Linked DNA regions of Stegostoma tigrinum. The protein of the gene in region 3 purifies or fractionates together with the protein of the main gene of each other region. This does not show direct contact. Links are inferred from orthologs where the notes say so. Each region holds a gene or a part of one and is shown on either strand. Other genes may lie near its edges. The genes, in order: zbtb18, zbtb10 and fbxl17.

Evidence for each region.
Region 1: the proteins of fbxl17 (region 3) and zbtb18 purify together in Homo sapiens (co-immunoprecipitation; 3 studies listed by BioGRID and IntAct, with this or other methods). This does not show direct contact. The link is inferred for Stegostoma tigrinum from reciprocal best matches to the Homo sapiens genes FBXL17 and ZBTB18.
Region 2: the proteins of fbxl17 (region 3) and zbtb10 purify together in Homo sapiens (affinity purification with western blotting; 3 studies listed by BioGRID and IntAct, with this or other methods). This does not show direct contact. The link is inferred for Stegostoma tigrinum from reciprocal best matches to the Homo sapiens genes FBXL17 and ZBTB10.

The regions. Positions count from the first base shown.
Region 1 is NC_081362.1:84,554,612-84,561,570, forward strand, and holds the start of zbtb18 (zinc finger and BTB domain-containing protein 18), read left to right. Parts: upstream 1-3,860; 5' UTR 3,861-4,081; coding exon 4,082-4,109; intron 4,110-4,123; exon of another isoform or gene 4,124-4,324; intron 4,325-4,351; exon of another isoform or gene 4,352-4,665; intron 4,666-4,926; coding exon 4,927-6,515; 3' UTR 6,516-6,959.
Region 2 is NC_081358.1:21,938,019-21,945,709, reverse strand, and holds the start of zbtb10 (zinc finger and BTB domain-containing protein 10), read left to right. Parts: upstream 1-4,849; 5' UTR 4,850-5,024; coding exon 5,025-5,804; intron 5,805-7,691. Other genes in the region: uncharacterized protein LOC125451549, read right to left, coding at 2,556-2,736, 4,458-4,849. UniProt on the Homo sapiens protein: May be involved in transcriptional regulation.
Region 3 is NC_081356.1:80,972,680-80,980,109, forward strand, and holds the start of fbxl17 (F-box/LRR-repeat protein 17), read left to right. Parts: upstream 1-4,371; 5' UTR 4,372-4,442; intron 4,443-4,449; exon of another isoform or gene 4,450-4,593; intron 4,594-7,430. UniProt on the Homo sapiens protein: Substrate-recognition component of the SCF(FBXL17) E3 ubiquitin ligase complex, a key component of a quality control pathway required to ensure functional dimerization of BTB domain-containing proteins (dimerization quality control, DQC).

The DNA.
Region 1 (6,959 bases), on a different chromosome or scaffold from region 3:
TCCACCGGGTGCTCTGGTTTCCTCACACAGTCCAAATTTGTGCAAGTTCGGTGGATTGGCCATGTTAAATTGCCCACAGTGTTCAAAGATGTGCAGGCTAGGTGAATTAGCCATGGTAGTTTGGGTTTGTGGGATAAGTCAGAGGGTTAGGTCTGGGTCTGTTCTTTGGAGGGTCGGTGCAGACTTGATGAGCTGAATAGCTTCTTTCTGCACTCTAATGATTCTGTGAATACAGGTTGCTGCTTTGATTAGCGCCTCTTTTAAATACAAAAGCAAATTACCATATATTTAGCTTCTTTCTTGTTTTATAGCCCATTCAATTATCTTTGTTAATTTCCAGTGGTGAGATTCATATTGCTCATTTGCCTTATAAGTCTCTCCACAACAAAATAAACGAAAGAAATGATACCAGGCGGTATGGTTGCCCATGACTTATAAATGCAAACAAAATGGCTTCATAAAATATCCTGGGCCTGTAAATTCAGCCTTCATTCTTTTCACTTTATCCGATGAAAGTTGGACTTGGCAGTAGCATTCCCCTGACTTCTCTTGCAGGAAAGTAAAAGGGCACAGCATTGCATCCTGGCACTAGCAGCTGGGAATAGCAACCGAGCAGGTCAGATTACTGTATGATAGGCAAAAGCCTTGAGGTAGGAGGAGAATGGAACTATGACTTCACTGATTAGGGTTTATGGATATGACAACGTGATGGTGGGGTGTGTGGTTCATGGAATAGTATAAATTAAATTCTGAACATGGTTTTATACATTGGTTTTGTTCAATTAGATTGTTTTGTTATTTGTTCATTTAAGTTATACTATTGAGCTTTTGGGATTTAAATAAAAACAGATTGAAACTTGTTAACAATTTCAAAATGCTTATATCTAGGCCTCAAATTATTAGGAAGTGTTATAATCATATTAGTGTATTTAAAATCATCATAACACATTTATTCAGAAATATTGGCACAATTTTCCTGAGCAGCACGGGCTTTTGTTTTTGTTTTGAGGTTTTCCACTACCTGAACTTTTTTTTAAAATCTAGCTAATGTCCTGCATTAAAACTTTCCACAAAATGTCCTTCACAGTATTTGACTTGTGAAAATAACTGTTTGTTGCATCAAGAAACAAATAAACTTAGGTTTATTTAGTATCTGTAGCCCACAGACGTGTAAGCAACTGCTGATCACTAAGACCAGGGATTTTGTGCACAGATAAGTTTGGCACAGATGGAAAGACAGCACAGTTGGCACAAATGGCACAGCTGGCATCAATGGCACTGATGCACAGCTAGTACCTTTGGCACAATTGACAGTGTCAGTGTAGTTGGCACAGCATGAACAGCTGGCACAGAAGTATTACAGCTGGCAGTATTGGCATAGTACAGTCTTTCTCCCCCCATCAATTCTTATACAACTTTGGTAAGGTTTGACTTCATATTGTTAGTACTTTGTGTTAAATAAACATGTCTGTTTAGTTTCATGCTTCCTAATTCTGCTATTTTTAAAGTATCTTTATTGTCCTTTATCTACAATCTCAAAAGCTATACATGCAAAGTCCCAAATTGCCTAGAATGTTAGTGTCCTGCAATTTTCATACATTTTTCCACCTTAGTGGAATTGGATATTTCCAATTTTCACATTTAGTACAGATTGTGATGATTTATTCATTTTCAACATGTATACATATTCAAATGAAAATGACAGAAAGCTTGCTAATTCCATCGATCAATTGCTTCCCAAAAGCCCCCCATTCCTTCAACTAAAAATTTAAATGTGATAACATCATATGAAATTTGTGTTAACCAGCTTGGAGGATGGGAGGCTTCAATTAGTAGCATCTGATGAGAACAGAAAAAAAAAGACTCTTGCATGCCAAACTCATGTTGCATAAATAAATGCCATTGAAAATTTTCATTGCCCTGAAATTAACTCTTAATTATTAAAGCAAATAGCAAGTGCAGGTTGGTCTGGAACACAAGCAGTCTAAAAATTGACTGTGGGTCACAAGTTAAAGACTGAGGTCTGTCTGTCCTAGTGCAGATTTGCCTCAGTTGGGTGAGTTTTGTTAATTCTCAGCTGGATTCATCCAACAGATTACTATTCTGAGAGGGGAACACAAAAGCTGGTTATTAGGCCTATTGCTTCAACTGTGTTGTTTGTTATCAATCCTGAATGTCATTGCCAGTGGCCCTGGTTAAATCTGCAACCAGGAAATTTAATCTAGTCGCCTTAATTGAATGAATTTCGCCATTATATCTGAGCTACAGAAATACTGCACACAGAGGGTGGTTATTTTAGACAGGGCAACTGGTGTCACCAAGACATAATTGTGCCTCCTGAACACCAGTAACAGTAATCTCAGAACAAATTTTAAAGCAAAGTCACGTTTAAAACCTGGGCAGTTTTGGAGTTCTAGTTGAAAGAGGCATATGCCGTCGACAAGGTTTGAAAATTTAGAGAAGTCTTTGAAGAAATATAATTTTTCGAAAGACAGGGTACATGAACTGCAAGCCTCCAGTACTGGATTGACCGACTTACATCTGTAAATATTTGACCCTATATTTTGAGTTTTGTTCTCCCTTTTATGTTAAAATATGAAATATTTTATATGCAATATTTCAACATATTCTGAAATCTTACCTCTGCAGGTTTACTTATAGTTTGCACATTATCATACGCAAACTTTTAAAGTTTTGACCTTTTAGTACTGAAAAGATTTTTTTTCAATTACGCTTCCGCTTTCACAAAACCTTGCCTTCAAAGCTTTTGCAACTCTTACTGGCTTTACAGATCGGGCTGGCGATTGCGCATCGGGAAGGTGATCACAACTTGATCCTCTTCCCCCGACGCCACGAGGACTACAACTCCCGAGATTCATTCCAGCCTCCTCCCCGCCCACCCTGCCACCACCTTCTCGCCAACGTCCGAAGACGCGCAAATTCCCCCTTTTGCTGGCTCACGGTTACTCCGAAGCAAACCCTGGGCTGAAAGCGGAAACCCCGCCTACTTTCCGACCCGATTGGCTGGCCGGATCCTGGACTTTCTGGGGGTTTTTTTTCGGAAGGTGGCCGGACCGATTCCCGGCGCTTTTTGTGGTCGGCCTAAGACTTCAATGAAGACATGATGTCAGCCACACTTCCTCTGTCAAGGTAGGTAATGAGCACGAAATAGCAACAGCTCTCTAACATCTGGGCGCACTTGTCCCCGGCGCCCTGTCTATCTATCTATGTATATGTCGATCTCTCTCATGAAGTCCTGAAAGTCATTGGCTCCTTCCTTCCAACACCCCCCCCCTCTCCTTCAGCAATCCCTCCCACCATCTCCTCCTACTTTGTACTCGCTATTCCCGCAGGCAGAAAAGTGCCCCCTTCTCTTTTTTTAATATATTGTTGCTTCCTGTGAGTATCTCAGAGAACCAGATCCTCCTGGATTTCCTCATTTTAAAACAACTCCGGCTTAGAGGAAGGGGAGGGGAGACACAGTGTTGCCAGAAGCGGCGCGGAGTTACAATGTTTCAAAAATGTTACTCTTCACTACCCCCCGCCCCGTCCGCCTTCCCGAGTTGTTGCGCCGCGTTGTTGCTGGTAACCATTCACACGCTGGCGGTGGAACGCCAGCCCAGATCGTTCCATCGGACCAGAGGCGGCGGCGGCGGCGGTGGTGGCGGCTGCAGCCTGTTGTTACTTTATTTTTTTTCTCCCCACACTATGTGTGTGTGTGTGTGTTGTGGTTTGACTGCCGTCACCATGCATTGAGGATCTCTGCTGCTGTTCTTGCTGCAGCAACATTTAACAGGTCGCCCTGTAGCGTTTTTTTCTCTCTCTCTCTCACACACACACACACACACACACACACACAGCGGCCGCAGTTTGTGTCATTTCAAGTGAAGTGAATATATTTGGAAACATAAATAAAATAAAGGGAAGGGCGAGCAGAAAGGGGGCTTAGGGCTGGGTGGTGAGAGAGACACTGTCTGGTACTTTATTTGGAGGGGGGATTTTTTTCCCCCTTTTTTGTAGCAGATAATGTATTCAAACGTGAGATTGGTGGCAGCAGCAGCAAACACGACACGAGTAACATATGGCATTAAAAAGCAGCACAGCTGGAGGTAGCATTTCCATTTGAAGTGATGTCAGAGCAGCTGACAGTCTGGCATTGCTGGGTTTTTTTGTGTGATCTTGCTCCGTGTGCCGGTATCATTCCTCTTCAGTCTGCTTTTTTAAACTTGACAGACCGGAGTCACAAAGATTTAGCGCACCCTTGAAGGTGTTCTTTTAGAGGGATTGGTCACGAGAAGTTGGTCTGTTTTTATTCCTGTTGCAGGTATGGGGGGGATTCTACCCTTTTTTTTGCAAACCCTGCTAGGAATTTTGTATGATATTATATGTGCTTGTTTAATTCAGAGTTGACAGATCATTGTTGAGTGCAAGCTAATTTTTTTCTTAAGAGTTGTGGTAATAGTGACTAATTTGGGATTCGCAGATTGCGACGCGTGGAATTGCCCAGACAGCTGTAATCGCACTCCATTCTTTAATCTCTTTATCTGGGCAGCAGCTGCCATATGGCCATAGTCATCTGTATCAGATGTTTATAAGCTTCGTTTTCGTCCTGTCTCTGTCCTTTTAGGCATCTAATTTGATCAACAGTACCTTACTGACTATCATGTAATCTTTATTTTTAGCCATTTTAAGGATTAGAGATGGGGACACAGGGCACTTAATGTGATTGAGTTTGAGTTTTGTGGCAGTTTGCGTGTTTTTTTTCTCCCTCTTGTACGCGCTAATAGAGCGAGAACAAAATAATTTCTTGTTAAAATATGTTTTCCATTGTGTTAACTTTTATCTGTAGCATGCAGTATGCTTTAGGGTTTTACTACTCCTGTTTTATCTATTTCTACAAATGTTAACAAACTTTGTCTGCTACAGGTTATGAAGACAGTATGGAGTTTCCAGACCACAGTAGACATTTGCTCCAGTGTCTGAGTGAGCAAAGGCATCAAGGTTTCCTTTGTGATTGCACTGTCTTGGTTGGAGATGCCCAGTTTCGAGCCCATCGTGCTGTGCTTGCTTCGTGCAGCATGTACTTCCACCTCTTTTACAAGGACCAGCTGGACAAAAGGGACATTGTTCATCTGAACAGCGACATTGTTACAGCCCCAGCTTTCGCTCTCCTCCTTGAATTCATGTATGAAGGGAAACTCCAGTTCAAAGATTTGCCTATTGAGGACGTACTTGCAGCTGCGAGTTACCTTCACATGTATGACATAGTGAAAGTCTGCAAAAAAAAGCTGAAGGAAAAATCAACTACAGAAGCGGACAGCACCAAGAAAGAAGAAGACGCTTCAAGCTGTTCTGATAAAGGAGAAATTTCTTCAGTGAGCAGTGCACATATAGTGGGGGATCTGGCAAGCGAGGAAGATGAAACTGAAGAGGAAAAATCAAGTGCTGTGTTGAGCAAAAGGGACATAGTTATTGAATCTGGGAACATGTGGATGAGATTGCCCTCTGACTCAGCAGGCATCACTCAGCCTGGCGTTGAGGTTGAGGCACATGCAGTAACAGCTGGAAAAACAGTGTCCAGTCCCTGCAGCTCAACAGGCCCTTTGTCCCAAAGGTCTGCCAACTCCATTAAGGATTCAGCAGATGTTGACTGTGTGCTGGATTTGTCTGTCAAGTCTGGACTGTCAGGGGGAGAAAATGTCAGCCACCCTTATGTCTCTCCACATGGGGACAGTTCCAGAAATAACTTGGTGCAGGTTAAAGTAGAAAAAGAAGTGTTTTCCGATGAAGAAGGCAGCAGCACTAATGATTTTGATATGGAACAAAGTAGCACAGTGAAAGACAGTGCAGGCACTATGAATAGGCTTTGTTACGATTCACTCCATATGTCCGCCAGAAGAGAAGCTTCTGTGTCAAGCGAGATGGACCGAGAGGATCGAGCCAGCGATGATGAGATGGTAACCCCAGAGAATGACGGAGCCCAGATGGATGCAGGCATGGACAGCAGCTTGCTCCCTTACTGTTCTAATATACTTGGCTCAGCCGGCCAAATCTTCATGTGTCCCCTCTGCAACAAAGTCTTTCCTAGCCCACACATTCTGCAGATCCATCTGAGCACGCACTTTCGAGAGCAGGATGGCCTCCGCAGCAAGCCTGCCACTGATGTAAATGTTCCCACCTGCTCGCTGTGTGGGAAGACTTTCTCGTGCATGTATACCTTAAAACGACACGAGCGAACTCATTCAGGTGAAAAGCCATACACTTGCACTCAATGTGGGAAGAGTTTCCAGTATTCGCACAACCTGAGCCGTCACGCAGTTGTTCACACCCGGGAAAAGCCTCATGCATGCAAGTGGTGTGAGCGCAGGTTCACGCAGTCGGGTGATCTGTACAGACACATTCGAAAATTTCACTGTGAGCTGATAAACACACTCTCTGTTAAAACGGAATCACTTAACTTGCCTGCGATGCGTGACTGGACCATAGAAGAGAGCTCGCAAGAACTCTGGAAATAAAGTCTACCTGTCAAGCAGTCTGAAAAATCAAGTTTCTGGTAATCTCTTCTACAGCCTTTTGGGTACTGAATTCTCTCCATACAATAATAGCCGTAAATACTGTTTGTCAGAGCACAATCTACAAAGTGAGATTGTGAATCATATTGCAACATAAGGTAAATAAGAATTAACTATTAAACGCAACACTTATTTAATAAATACTCTAATTTTCTTTTCAAATGCACTCCTGCAGCTGTTGAGTGCACTGCAAAGGATGCTGCTGTATAGTACGTGAAGTTTCGTTGTTGAAATTTTCAACAATGAACCACTAATTCATTAAGGTTTTCATTGATATGTGTTAATATTTTAATGTTGCACAATTTCTGGATATTTAAAACATTTTTGTACAATGCTGTAAACAAGATAACTATGAATTTCTTTTCCATATGCCTAGGAATATGCATT
Region 2 (7,691 bases), on a different chromosome or scaffold from region 3:
TTATGCAGCGTTTATTGCCCATCCACAATTACCCAGAGACAGTTAAGAATCAACCAGAGATAGTAGGAACTGCAGATGCTGCAGAATCTGACATAACAAGGTGTAGAGCTGGATGAACACAGCAGGCCTTTAACCTGTCTGTCTCCTCTCCACCTACCTTCTCCTTTATCCATCTTCTATCTGCCTTCCCCTCTCTCCCTATTTACTTCAGAACCCCCTTCCCCTCCCCCATTTCTGAAGCAGGGTCTAGGCCCGAAACATCAGCTTTCCCACTCCTCTGATGCTGCTTGGCCTGCTGTGTTCATCCAGCTCCACACCTTGTTATCTAAGATTCAACCACATTGCTTTGGGTCTGGAGTCATATGTAGGGAAAACCAGGTAAAGATGGCAGTTTCCCTCCCTAACGGACATTAGTGAACCAGATGGATTTTTCCTGACAATCAGCAGTGGATTCATGGTCATTTTTAGACATTTTTGATTCCAGATACTTATTGAATTCAAATTCCACCATCTGCCACGGTGGGCTTCGAACCCAGGTTACCTAGGTTTCTGGGATGACAGTACAGTGATAATACCAAGTTCCTGGTTTAGGTACATCTACAATGTTGTCAAGGAAGCAGTTGAAGGATTTTGATCTAGCAACAGTGGAGGAACAATGATATAGTTCATGAGAATGGGCCCAGCACAAATTTTCCATTCCTAATTGCCCTTGAGAAGGTCATCATGAGCTGCAGTCATGAATTACTGCACTCCTTTTGGGGTGTACGTACACCAGGGCCAGGGGCAGAAATTATGCGCATCCAGCTCTGCTCCTGGCACAGCTCTTTGAATATGAGCACAGTAATGCCATCTCCAACCTGAACATAGTGGTTCTAACCCAAGCACAGCAGTCCCAAACCTCCACCCTGAGAACAAGTGACTCACCTCCAAATCCCAATTATTGAGGCATCTTGAACCCTACTGGCTAGGTCCTGAGGCACACTCAGTCTAATTAGAAATGGGGTTTCAAGACTTTGCCCCAGCACACACAGTCTAATTAGAAAGGGAGTTTCAGGACTTTGCCAGTTAACCCAGTTAGAGTAAAGGAATAGTTCCAAATCAGGATGGCATGTGGTGTGGTATGGGAGCTTGCAGGTGGTGTGCCCATACAGCTACTATTTTTGTCCTTTTCAGTGGTCAAGGCCTTAGATGTAGAATATGCTATTGAAAGAGGATGGGTGAGTTGCTGCTGTGCACTTGTAGATGGTACACATTGCTGCCATTGTACATCGGTGAAGAAGGGATGGTTCAGGTTTCCATATCAAACCTATTTCACTGTAATGGTGCACTGTAGAATATGGGGGCAAAAAGAGAATTCAAAGCTGAAGGTTATGAGAGTGGCTTGGTTTAACATATGACTGATGGTAGCTTTATTAATCCAAATAGACTGATATTTAAATTTCTAATTCACACACTAATTATTTTTTGATATATAGTGTGCCAACTGAAGCTTGAGGGCAGCTAAATCACTCCAGTTCTAATATTCCATGAGTCACAACATAAAATAAAAATACATTTCAAAGCAATGAGATTTTTTTACTTTTTCATTCAGGAAATGTGTATTTCACTGTCTGGGCTGACATTTATTGCAATTCAGAAGATCGTGCTGAGGTGTCTTCCGAACTGCTGCAGTCTATTTGTAAACCCTCAGTGCTGTCAGGGAGTTCCAGGATTTTGACTCAGCCACATTAAAGAAATGGCATTTTAAAATCAGGATGATGAGTGGCTTTGAGAGGATTTTGCAGGTGATGGTGTTCTTTTGTATGTGCACCCTTGTCATTCTCAGTGGCAGCATTCATAGGTTTAGAAAGATGCTACCGAAGGATGCTTGCTGAATTTCTGGAGTGCACCTTTTAGATGATACACTCAGCTGCTACTGTGCATCGGCAGTGGATTGAATGACTGTTTATATCATGCTATCAAGCAAATTGCTACATCTCGATAGAGTCAGGCTTCTTGAGCATTGTTGGAGCTGCACTCATCCATCTGTGTGGAGAGTATTCCACTACACTCCTTACTGGTGTTTTGTAGGACAAGCTCAAGGGAGGCAGGAGGTAAATTGTTCCCTGCAACTGATCTACTATTGTAGCTCCAATATTTTTGAGATTAGTCCAATTTGGTTTCTGGCCGATGGTTGTTATGGAGGATTCAGAGAATGGAAGCATCATTGAATGTCAATGAGTGATGGTTAGATTCTCTCCTGCTGGATATTGTCAATGTCTAGCAAATACTATTTGCCACTTGGCAGCACAAGCCTGAATACTGTCCAAGTCTAGCTGCATTTGGACATGAACTGCTTCATTATCTGAGGATTCATGAATGGTGACCAATTAAATATCTCAGGTTTTAAACAAGATTTATAAATAATTTCCTCATAAAAGGCAACTATTGGTTTATCATAAGAACATTTAATCAAAAATTTCAATCATCAGTTGACACGCACAGTAAGTAACATACAAGTATAAATGCTTATCCCTCTAAACATCCCCAAAATATGTGCATAGACACACACTTACTTCAGAAAGAAAACAAAAATCCAAGATCGCTGCTTCATGAAAAAAAAGCACGTTGGTCAATAAATTGAAGGCAGAAGAATAAAGCATAGAATGTTGTAGAGTGTGTTGCTCTGCAGGGTTGCCCTGAAGTCTTGCAGAATCTGTTTGCTCAGGAAATACAATTTTGAGATGTTTCTTCAATCTGTCCTTAAAAGAACAAATACGCTTTACTACTAACTCAATAAAGAGGATTTTGCAAAATGAGATAACAATGGGCAGCTTGTCCTTAGCTAGATTTTCTTCAACTGAGTTTATTTTTTGAGCAGATTTCCCTTCGACTGAATAATTCAGAAATGCCATCATAAGAAAGGTGGTAAAGAAAATCAAGGGAACTATAGACCTGTGAGCCTGACATCAATGGTGACCAAATTGTTGGAGGAGAATCTGAGGGACAGGAATTACATGTATTTCGAAAGGAAAGGACTGATTAGAGATAGTCAACGTTGTTTTGTGTGGGAAACCGTGTCTAACTTGATTAAGTTTTTTGAAGTGATGAAGAACATTGATAAAGGCAGAGCATTGGATGTTGCCTATGTGGACTTCGGTAAGGCATTTGACAAGGTCAACTAATTAACAAGATTACATTACATGCAACACAGAGCGAACTAGCCATTGCAATACGAAATTGACTTGAAAGTCAAAGACAAAGGATTTTGATGGAGGGTTGCTTTTCAGGCTGGAGGTCTGTGACCAGCAGTGTGCTGCAGGGATTAGTGCTTGGTCCACTGCTTTTTGTTACGTATATAAATGATTTGGATGTGAATATAGGAGATATGCTTTCAGATGACACCAAAATTGGATGCATCGTGAACGGTGAAGAATGTTACCATGGAGTACAATGGGACTGTAATTAGATGGGACAATGGGCTGAGAAGTGGCAAATGGAGTTGAATTTAGATAAATGTGAAGTACTACATTTTGGTAGGGCAAATCAGGGCATGAGTTTTGCACTTAATGGTTGGGAAGTACTGCTCAACAAAGAGACCTTGGAGTGCAGGTTCATAATTCTTGCAAAGTGGAGTCACAGGTAGCTGGGCTGGTGAAGAAGGAATTTGGTAGACACCTTCTTTTGGGTCAGTGCATTGTGTATAGGATTTGGGATGTCATGTTGCAGCTGTGCAGGACATTGGTTAGCCCATTAGGGTAGTAGGTATTTGGAACTCACCACCCAAAAGGCAGGTAGGAGCAAAATCCTGCAAGACATTTGGGAAACTTTGAGAGGAGCTTGAAATGCCAAACACACACAAGGGGAGGGAAAACATTGGATTTGAAAATAAGCAACTGAATTTGCTTGAGAAACTCAGCATATCTAGCAGCAACTGTGGAGAGAGAGAAAGCAGAGTTAGTGATTCGAGTCCAGTGATCTCTCTTCAGAACTAAGTGCTGACAGCACTTGAAACATTATGACTCCGCTTTCTCTCCCTCCACGGACACTGCTAGACCAGCTGAGTCTCTACAGGAACTTGTGCTTTCTTCGTTACTTCGGCAGAAATATTCTGTTTTGGGATCTTTCGTATTCCCGGTTCTTGGTTTCATTTCCGAACAGATGCAGATGTTTGTGACGTCGGGCCGAACGGCCACTTTTCTTCATCGCAAGCCGAGCCGTACCGCCACGGTCAACTTTTTCCTCATTTCAAAAGAGGAATGATTCTCGATTATAAAAATATCTGTGTGTACATAGTCACCGACACAGCTCCGTTGCCTAGTCGCAGATCAAGGCGACAAAACGAGACATTGGAGTTTGGTGGACAAGAGTCAAAATAAAAAAAACACCAGTGACCTCTCTTACACCTACAATATTAAATTTACAGACTTAAGACAGATGAGGGATGGAGGTAACTTGATAGAGAAGAAGAGATTTACCTACTTGCATTCCACATCGAAGTAAACGGCCGTGACCGCCGCCTCCTCCCCCCCATTGGCTGCTTGACCTGGAAGCGGAGCCCGGCCCTGAGGGAGGGAGACGGTGGTGGCAGCAGCGGCGGCGCGCGGTGCACTCTGGGAGCTTTGCCCGTTGGCGTCCGCTGCGTGTCTCGCGGACTCGGAGCCGCTGGCGCTGGCGGAGCGCGAGCGGCTTGGAGCCTGGACCGTGCACGAGGAGGAAGTGGCGGCGGTTGTGGTTGTTGTTGGTGGGGGGGTAGGACCCCCGAACAAAACAACATCTGGGAGGAGCTGGGGGTGTAGAAGAAACCGCCGTTCGGCACCTTCTCGGACCAGGCCTGTCCGCTCGCAACTTTATACCGTTCGTAATTCATCCGACCTCTCCGGAGTTTGGAGGAGGAGATTGAGGCTCTGGTTGGGGGGGTGGAAATAAAGAGGTTATCGCGGGAAAGGCAACCTCCTCTTCCACCACCCCCCTCCTCCTCTCCTTCCCTCCCCTCCGGCCAACGCTCGGATCAGCGACCCCTCCCGTCCCCTCCCTGATCCACCATGTCCGGCGAGAGGAACAGGCGATCGCTGGCTTTCCGCACCGGAGCCTCCGCCGTCAGGATCGACCCCGAGCTCGGGCCTCACCACCACCACCACCAAAACAACGGTGGCAGCAGTAGCAGCGAGGCCTCGAACGGGGCCTTCCCGTCCGTTAGTCCGACCAAATCGGCTGCCCTCCCTGTGCTGGACGGCGCCCAGGCCGAGGTCCCCCCGGCTGCGCCCCCCGCCGAGGAGGACTGGGTCGAGACGGTGGTGGTGGATGACGAGTACCCGGAGCAAGAGGTCTCCTCGGTGCGGGTGGTCGACGGAGGCTCAATCAGCAGCAACGAGTCCGAGGAAGAGGAGGAGGAGGCGGCGGGGGCTCCGCCGCCACCGGCAGACGGGGAGCTGGAAGGGATGGACGGGCCCGGCAACAAGGAGCGAGCCGCGTCGCCCGCCGAAGGAGCTGTGGGCCAGGAGGATGAGGAGGAAAACGGCGGCGGCTGCAGCCGGAGAGGATTCGGGCTGACTCTACTCGGCCGGCCGCAGTCCTTCCTGCTGCCCCAGCAGCGCACTTTCCAGAGATCGTGGCTGCAGGAGTTCCCGTGGCTTCAGTACGAGCAGGAGACGGGCCTTATGTACTGCTCCTGGTGCCTGCGGGCCAACAGCGGGGTGGGGAGCAACAATAACCGCAACAAGTTCGTGAAAGGAAGCCGCAATTACAGGCGAACCACGCTGCTGCGGCATCACCTTTACACTGAACACCGGCAGAATGACCCATCCGCTGCGGCCTGCATGGAGGTGAGTGTGACTATAAATCATACTGCAAAAGGCTTCCTCTCGAAGTGGGGGAGGGTAATAAGTAGCCATTGCTGATTCTGCGTTCATTCGGATTGCTGTGACTCCATTTACTTCAGACCGAGAGCGCTGATGGCTCTCCAGGTTATTCGAAGTTAATATTGACGTTAGGGTTTAGAATTATCTTTCCCTCTCGCCCAGTCCCATCCCCCAAACTCCTTAATCCATGTACACAACAGATTGAATTCAGTTTAGATTTATTGATTTGAACGGAATTTGATCTTGTACCCTGTTTACATGGCACTATGCCCCTTGAATCGGAACACAACACGGCGAGAGATCACATTACCGACCAATGCACGCTGTATTTGGAAACGGGCGAGAAATGCACGCAACAAAAAAAGTTTCTTTGTGAGTGGCAACTTTTTTCTAAGTTTTGTTTTCCTCGCACAGTCGTGATGCTGTCTGGTTTGAGAATTTTATTTTGCCTTGCGTTTTTCAGCTTGGTAAACAAAAATTCATTCCACTTTCTTAATTTACAAGAAAGAATTCTAGAATTTTGAGAGATTGTATAGCTGTATAGTGTAAAACTGTTAAGGTATATATTAAAATAGAATTTGGAAAAATAAAGAAAATATAGATGCTGGAAATCGAACAAAAACTGAAAATGCTTATATGTAGCAAGCTGTGTAGAGACAGTACACTATTTGGTATGTCAACTGTAAACCCTTCATAAAGATTTTGCAAAATGCCATTTTGAAAAGTGGGACAACATGACTGGCATGACAGTTTGGTTCAGTATGTAACTAATCCATTTTAATCTTCAGGGTAGTAAAAGTTCATAACAGATTTGGTTCTGCACTGCAGGTTCTAAATTAAACTTATCAAATATGATCGTTAGTGACATGAACCTCTGCTTCCTGATCAAAACATTATGAGCAATCAGACACTGGTGTCTTCTTGGAGAACATTCTCGAGCTACAAATTATCTGGTAAAATTTGCAAATATGACAATGACTAATGGTTTTATTCTTCATTCGAACTCTGTAATAGAGACATGAAAATTCTGTACCAGTTAATATCTTGAAGACTGTAAAATTGCAAGTTTCAGATGTTAGTTGGCTATAATCTATTCATCATGGTACATAAATTGGACTGTATTTGATTGAATTCAAAAGTGATTTGAAGCAGTTTGAACAGTTATCTTTTCGAATAATGCCAAGTCTGTTCAAACATAGGTTTGTCAGTAGTATTGATGGCTCATTGTGTCACGGGGCTCAAACTAATGTTGGAGAAAAATTACACATGCATCCATTGATAACTGGACCAGTTTTGTAAAAAAGATGGAACGTTTTTTACTGGATCTTAAATACTAATCATCAAATTGTGTAAAACCCTCTTTATAACATGTTTCTTGCTGTGACATGCCTTTTTTTTAACAACTCCCAAACACGGCATTGTGGAGAGGGTAATTTGAAAAGGCACAGCTGCCTTGCGAAAGGTATTGTACCAGTCTAGAAGAACTGACTGTCTCAAATTACTGTAATTGCATCTGTCCCAGATGAGCCCACTGTCAGTCAGTTACTTAGATTATCTGAAAGTCTTATTCCTTGATCAGTTGCTTCAGTTTTCTTCCAATGCATGTTTGTTTTTGCAACACTGCAGCTGAAAATATAATTGGGATATAGTTTAATAGGATAGTATTTATTAGATGTACTGGTGAAGTAGATGACTATTTAAAGATGACATACATTACGATGACTATTGAGTAACATGATGTATATCAAATAACAGTTCAGATGTTAAGATTCTAAGTGGTGAGTAGTGACTTAGGGCTCATTACTAGGATCCCACCTATTCACTGTACTTAATCGATTTAAATGAGAGAAC
Region 3 (7,430 bases):
AAAATGCCTTTGTCCCAGAAATCAGTCAAGTGAACCTTCACTGAACTACTTCTAGTGCAATTCTATTCTTATTGATGTAATACAACCAAAAGCGTACACGGGACACCAGCTGCAGCAACGCTTCCTGACTTTTACATATACTTGTCTTGTAATAAAAACTAACATTCCATTTGCCTTCTTAATCATTTGCTTCACCTGCACACTAATACCATGCGATCACAGATCAAGATATCCAGATCCCTCTGATCTGTCAAGTTCTGTGGGCTCTCTTAAATGAAGTAATGTCTTTTATTTTTCCTGCCAAAGTGTACAATTTCACACTCTTCTACATTATATACCATCTGCCAAATATTTGCCTCTTCATTTCACTCATCATCCATTGTCATCTCTTTAAGTCCCCTTGACAAAATACTCTTGCCCATCTTTCTGTCAACAGAAAATTTGACTACAATGCAGTCAATACCTTCATCAAAGTCATTAACGTAGATTGTAAATAGTTGAGCAAATAAAAACCAAATGAAGATGCTGTGAAAAATTTCTGAGGAAGGGTCACTTGCGCTGCAATGTTAACTCTGATTTCTCGTCACAGATGCTGCCAGACCTGCTGAGCTTTTTCAGCAATTTCTGCTTTTGTATCTAATCTCTGTGGCACTCTGCCAGTTACGACCTGCCAAGAATGATCTATTTACCCTTGAACAATCCTCTGTGCATGCTAATCAATCATTCTGACCACCATGAGTTCTTATTTTGTGCAGTAAAATATGATTTGACATTTTTTGAGATCTAAGTACACGTCTTTAACGACAATGTTTGTTACTTCCCAAAAGGACTCTAATAAATTAGTTAAAGATGATTTCCCTGTAGACTCTGCTTGATTAACCTATACACAATTGTCCATAAAACACAGGAAACAGGAGGAGGCCCTTCAAGCTTGCTCCCCCATTCAATATGATCGTAGTTGATCATTCAATTTAGTATCTTCTTCCTGATTTTTCACCATACACTTTTATTCTTTTAGTTCTAAGAGCTATAACTAACTCTTTCTTCAAAACATTCTTAGTTCTTTACTGTTAGTTGCACTCCCTCAAAAGCCACAGCATCCCTCCTCAGATAAAGAGACCAAAACTGCACACAGATTAGAAGACAGGGAAAGCTCAGTTTGAAGGACCCCACTGCTACATATATTGAAAATCCACTTCAATGTATTTAACTAAATCTGCGTAAGGCTATTTGTCTAGCCAAAACTACCATATCTGATGGAAAAGACAGGGAACATATCTACCAACCAGTGACAGAATTTCATTCACAAGGCAACCTGACTAAGGAACTAACTACAATGCTCTAGAATAAAAAGGCTTTTTATCAAAAATTGGATTACAATGCATGTGGCAGAAGTTTGATTTGTTCTACAGTCATCCTGATTTAAAAGACTTTTCTCTCTTTGCCAGGAAAATGGTCAGTAGGTAACAAAATAAACGATCAAGACATATATGTTTTTTATTAAGAGCACAACACGTGCAAGAAATGAGCCTCTAATACTTGGGGACTTACATTTTAAATGTATGAAGAAAGCATAGTTGAGTTATTAATCCTGTTCACCTCACTATACACATCCACCACTGCAAAGTCAGCTCTGTCCACTTTGTTGAGAGTCATGTGATTTACTGGAGCAATTTAAGAGATCTTATGGATATCGCCAAACAAGGTTCAGACACTCAATGATTCAAATTTCTCCAAACCTTTTACAACAAGTTCACCATTTGCAGGAAGGTATCTTTATTTATCAAAGTGTCAGCAGCATCTTTAGAGACAAAAGCATCTTTATGTTTGCTTGCAATCCAAATCCGAATATGTTTTTACTTATTTTTGCGTTTGAGTAGGAAGTGACTTCTAGCAGCTAATATCTCATAGATCAATGTTTTCACACCACCTGTGCATAGACAGTTGCTTCGAAGTAATTGAAAGATCTGCAAAGAATGGCTTGTAATGTATTATGCACCTTGTAAACGACTGTCAGTATCTGACAGCGCCTCTCATCCACCTTCCTGCAAAAATGTCACCCCCTAATCCCAATTCCTGCTCCTGAGATGAGGCATTCCACTCCTGGACATGCCAGATATCCTCGTTTATCAAGGACTGCAACTTACCCCCCACTACGGTCAAGAACGCCATTGACCACATCTCTCACGTTTCCCGCAACCCATCCCTCACACCCCCTTCCCGCAATCACAACCAAAACAGAATCCCCCTCATCCTCACGTATCACCCCACCAATCTCCGGATCCAATGCATCATCCTCCAGCACTTCCGCCTGTGCAATCTGACCCCGCCACCAAAGAAATTTTTCCCTCCCAACCCTTATGTGCCTTCCAGAGGGACAACTCTCTCCGTGACTCCCTTGTCCGCTCCACACTCCCCACCAGCCCCACCAACCCAGCACTTTTCCCTGCAACCGCAGGAAGTGCTACATCTGCCCCTACACCTCCTGCCTCACTCCCATCCCAGGCCCCAAGAAAATCTTCCACATCAAACAGATGTTCACCTGCACATCTGCTAGTGTGGTATACTATATCCGCTGTTCCCGATGTGGCCTCCTTGACATTGGGGAAACCAAGCGGAGGCTTGGAGACCACTTTGTGGAACACCTAGACTCAGTTCACAACAAACAACTGCACCTGCCAGTTGCGAACCACTTCAACTCCCCCTCCCACTCCTTGGATGACATGTCCATCCTGGGCCTCATCCAGTGCCACAACGATGCCACCTTAAGGTTGCAGGAACAGCACCTCATATTTCACTTGGGAACCTTGTAGCCCAACGGTACCAGTGTGGACTTCACAAGCTTCAAAATCTCCCCACCCGTGAACGCATCCCAAAACTAGCCCAGCTTGTCCCCGCCTCCCTAACCTGTCCTTCCTCCCATGTGTCTGCTCCTCCCACTTCAATTCCCACTCCCACCTCCTACCAACCAGCTTCATCCCTGCATCCCTCACCTGTCCATCTTCCCCGGACTGACTAACTCCCACCCTAATTTCCCATCTACACTCACCTTTACTGGCTCCAACCCTGCCTCTTTGACCTGTCCGTCTCCTCTCCAACTATCTGATCCTTTAACCATCTTCCATCCGCTTTCCCTCTCTATTTATTTCAGAATCCCCCTCGCCTTCCCCTCCCCCATTTCTGAAGAAGGGTCCAGATCTGAAACGTCAGCTTTCCTGCTCCTGGGCGGCACGGTGACTCAGTGGTTAGCGCTGCAGCCTCACAGCGCCAGGGACCCGGGTTCAATTCTAGCCTCAGGGGACTGTCTGTGGGGATTTGCACATTCTCCCCGTGTCTGCGTGGGTTTCCTCTGGGTGCTCCGGTTTCCTCCCACAAACCAAAGATGTGCAGGCTATGTGGATCGGCCATGCTAAATTGCCCATAGTGTTCAGGGGTGTGTGGGTTATAGGGGGATGGGTCTAGGTGGGATGCTTCAAGGGGCGGTGTGGACTTGTGGGGCCGAAGGGCCTGTTTCCACACTGTAGGGAATCGAATCTAATCTAATCCTCTGATGCTGCTTGGCCTGCTGTGTTCATCCAGCTCCACACCTTGTTTATCTCAGATTCTGCAGCATCAGCAGTTCCTAATATCTCTGTCAGTATCTGACACTTCTATCATCTAGACAGTGAGTGATTACAAAACGATTAAGTTTAACATGGTCTGGGAGTTGAGCGCTCCCACAAAAGGGAATCCCAGGACGTACAATTTTTAAGAGATAAATTTTCTGGAAAATTAGAGAAGTTGAATAGGTATAAACAGGCAGAAAACGGCGGAAAATCTCAGCAGATCTGCCAGAATGTGTGGAGATAGAAAGAATTACTATTTCGAATCCACTCTGTTTCTTCTGAAGTTCCAGTATTTTGCTTTCATTCGACCACGAAAAGTTATGGGTGAATGATATATTTCAAGATGTCACGCTGAAAATACAGAAAGAAAACAATATCAGACGAAACAAATGTGACCGAAAACTAATGAACACAATAAATACAATACAAAAAGGGACAGATTCTGCAGAGAAAAAGGGATGAGAGTCACTGGAGTGATGAATATAAACGCAGAAACATATTAACAGGAGAAGGGAGAGCGATTGAGAACAAGGTCGGACAAAGATCTTGATCTAATTTTAGGAAACAAACAGCTGTCGGGTCCTCTCAGTCACCAGCTCGAAGATTCTCACCTGACAACAGCAGCAGCAGCAGGTCACCATTATTAAAGCTCTGTCCCACGGCAATGCTAACAATCGCCTCACGGTAGGTCCCCGCTCAGCGGTTGATCACTGCGCGGCTGGGATCTGATTAAAAGGCGGGATCACCGAGTGACGTTCGCTGATCGCCGCCAATGAGGCGCGCGGACGGTTTGAGCCGGCCTCTCAGTTGAAGAATGAGGCCTTGTACAGCCGGAAGGTCTGCATCAGTTTATATTCACTATTTTTTTTCCAATAAGTAGTAATTGTTTATATTTTCTAGGGGGAAAAAAAACACACACACAAGAATGATGACGTCTCTGTGTTTAAGTATGCAAACGTGTGAAGGCGGTAGGAAGGAATAGTCGCCGGTAGGCAGCACGCTTCTTCCTGTTATTTACAGTTTGCGAGACAAACACTGGGCAGCTGAGGCCTTGTTTGAAATGAGTATGTGTGAAGCTGCATATTGGAGCTGGAATTTAGGAAGTCGGAAATGCTGCTACAGTCCTAGTCTCACATTGGGACAGTAGAGGATGGAAACTCTTTACAGGAAGCAGTACAAGTGGTTTTGAGTACTGAAATATTATGGAGATATTAAAAATTGATCATGTTTTTAATCTCGCATTCAATTTACAGTCAATAATCAGATTGTTTTGTTAAACCCTTCACTTAATCTATAACCATTGTGATTTGAATAAAATGCCCTCTGACATTCTTCCGCAATATAAATAGCGAATAGGGAAAATGTACAAGATGTAAAGAAAACCTCAGGTCACGTTAAATCTATAATATAAATGCATTTTGAATTTTATTAAATACTAAAAGGACAATTTGAAATATTTTTTCAATGCATGTGTTTGTTCAATGCACAGTAGTTACATTTTCAATTCTGGTTTAATTACACTTACATGAAATGGTCCTGTTGGGTTATAATTAGTTTCCAATCTTGCATTTTTCATTATTATTTACAAGTGCAGTGATAGTAGCCCAGAGCTACATAAAGTGTAATGGTTTGGTTCTCCATGGATAAGAGGTTTTGTCTGAAGTTGCACTGACATTTCACCATGTACTATTCCATCTAAAATCAGTAATTTCACACAAGAAAGTGGAACTAAATTATTTTTATTTTGAAAGATTGTGCAATATCACAGGGCTTGAGTCAGTCAGGATTGTTGATTTTTTTTTGTGGTTAGAACTACCTTTAAAGTTTATAGATACATGTTTACACGGATGACTTCATGTAAATAATTCTATCAATGTCCTTTTTAAACAGTGATGTGATTAGTTCATAAGACTAATATTCTTGTAAATACAATTTATACAAGTGAATTATAAATTAAGAAAAACATCCAGAAACACTTCAGAGTTAAGGGACAAATTAGATGCAACATCAAGGGGGAGATATTTGGAAAGAGCATCAATCTGCTTGGTCCGATATGTTAAGTCTTGGCGGACGATACTGTATTTGTACAAATGAAGGAAGGGGATAGGCACCAAAAGGTATTATCAGAGGAACTGAGAATGGGGTGAGGTTCATAGATTGAATAAAATTGTTAAACTTAAATTATTGGGAGATGTAGAGTCAGTGTGTGTTGAGGATAGGTGTGTTGGTCATGGTGGATGATTGAGTACAAGTAGTGAATTTGTGGGTATGTGTTGATTTTAGAGATTTTTTTCTGGAATGGAAAGCTCACAATTAATTGAGTCTAGAGCTGATAAAGGCTTAAATCAAGGTTTCAATAGCAGATAAGTCTTAAGAAAGAGCAGTAGGTTGAGGCTTTTCTGCCCATTGAACCTACTATGCTACCTAGTATGAGTATGACTGATCTGATGAACCCACCTCCCTGCTTGCACCTGTTACCTTTTTTGAGTCTTTGTTAACAAAAATCTATCTCACTCAACCTTGAAAATGCACAATGACACGTTCTCCAGTATTCTGTGGAGGAGCATTCCAAAAAATATGATCTCTGCGAGAAGGAATTCCTCCTTTAGTTTTAATGGGAAATCTCTTATTTTTAAAGTCCGTCCCCTACTTCTAGTCTTCCCCACAAAAGGAGGCATTCTTCCAGCAGTAACAGCGTACATCCCCGTCAGAATCTTATGTTTAAATAATATTACCACTTATTCACTCCAATGACTATCAGCGCAATCGTTCATCCTTTCTCCATGAGTCAACCCATTCACCCCAGAAACCAGCCAAGTGAACTTTCTGTGAATTGCTTCTAATGCAAGGGAAACTCCTAGAGATAGGAAATAACTCACCACAGTACTTCAGCTTCAGACTCATCAATGCACTGTTGCAGTAAAATTCCTTCCTTTTACTATAAAATGTTGGTGGGTAAAGGCTGACATCAAATTTAACTTAATAATTACCTCTGCCGCTGAAGATGGGTGGAAGAGATGTTTTTGCTTTGTTTGCTAGTCTGTTTGTAAACAATATATGTCAGAAACTACTGAATGATTTTAACAAAACTTGATATACAGATAGAGTTAGCACAGGGAAGAGCTATTACATTCAGATGGGAGGAAAAGAAAACTGGTAACAGGAAGTTATTGGATATGGCTTTAAGCAAACATTTTGGATTAAGTAAGACCCAGATCTTTGCTGTGCAGCATTCTGTAGTGTTTCTCCATTTAAACAATGTTCTATTTCTCTTTTCTTCTGGCCAAAGTGAATAACCTCAAATTTTACTACATTATTCTCTAGCCAAATATTTTCCTAACTGATGTCATCAGTATATATATCCCTTTGCAGATCCTTTGTATCCTTTTCACAACTTATTCTGCTGCCTATCCTTTGCATTATCAGCAAATCTGCAGATAATATAGTTGACTTCATCATCCACTTCGTTAATACTCGTAAACAAACAGTTGAGTCCCACCTCTGATCCTTGCGACCCTCCAGCATGCCAGCCTGCAAGTGACTGCCATTTTTCAGAATCTATCTTTGTTAGCTAATATGCTGAAAACATTAATATATCATCCCAAGCAAAATGGATTTTTATCTTGTGGCAAGGTATTAAAATGATTTTGGTAAACCGTCATGTTTACTGGTGTCTGTTTTTCCACCTTGCTTAATACTCGGTGAAATTTTTCAAAGCGGTTGCATAAATTGTTCAGATGTTAACTTCCCTTTCACAAAGCCATGACATTCTACTCGATTTTCTATCTGTCCTGCGTCTATCTTAGTAATAGATTCTTGTATTTT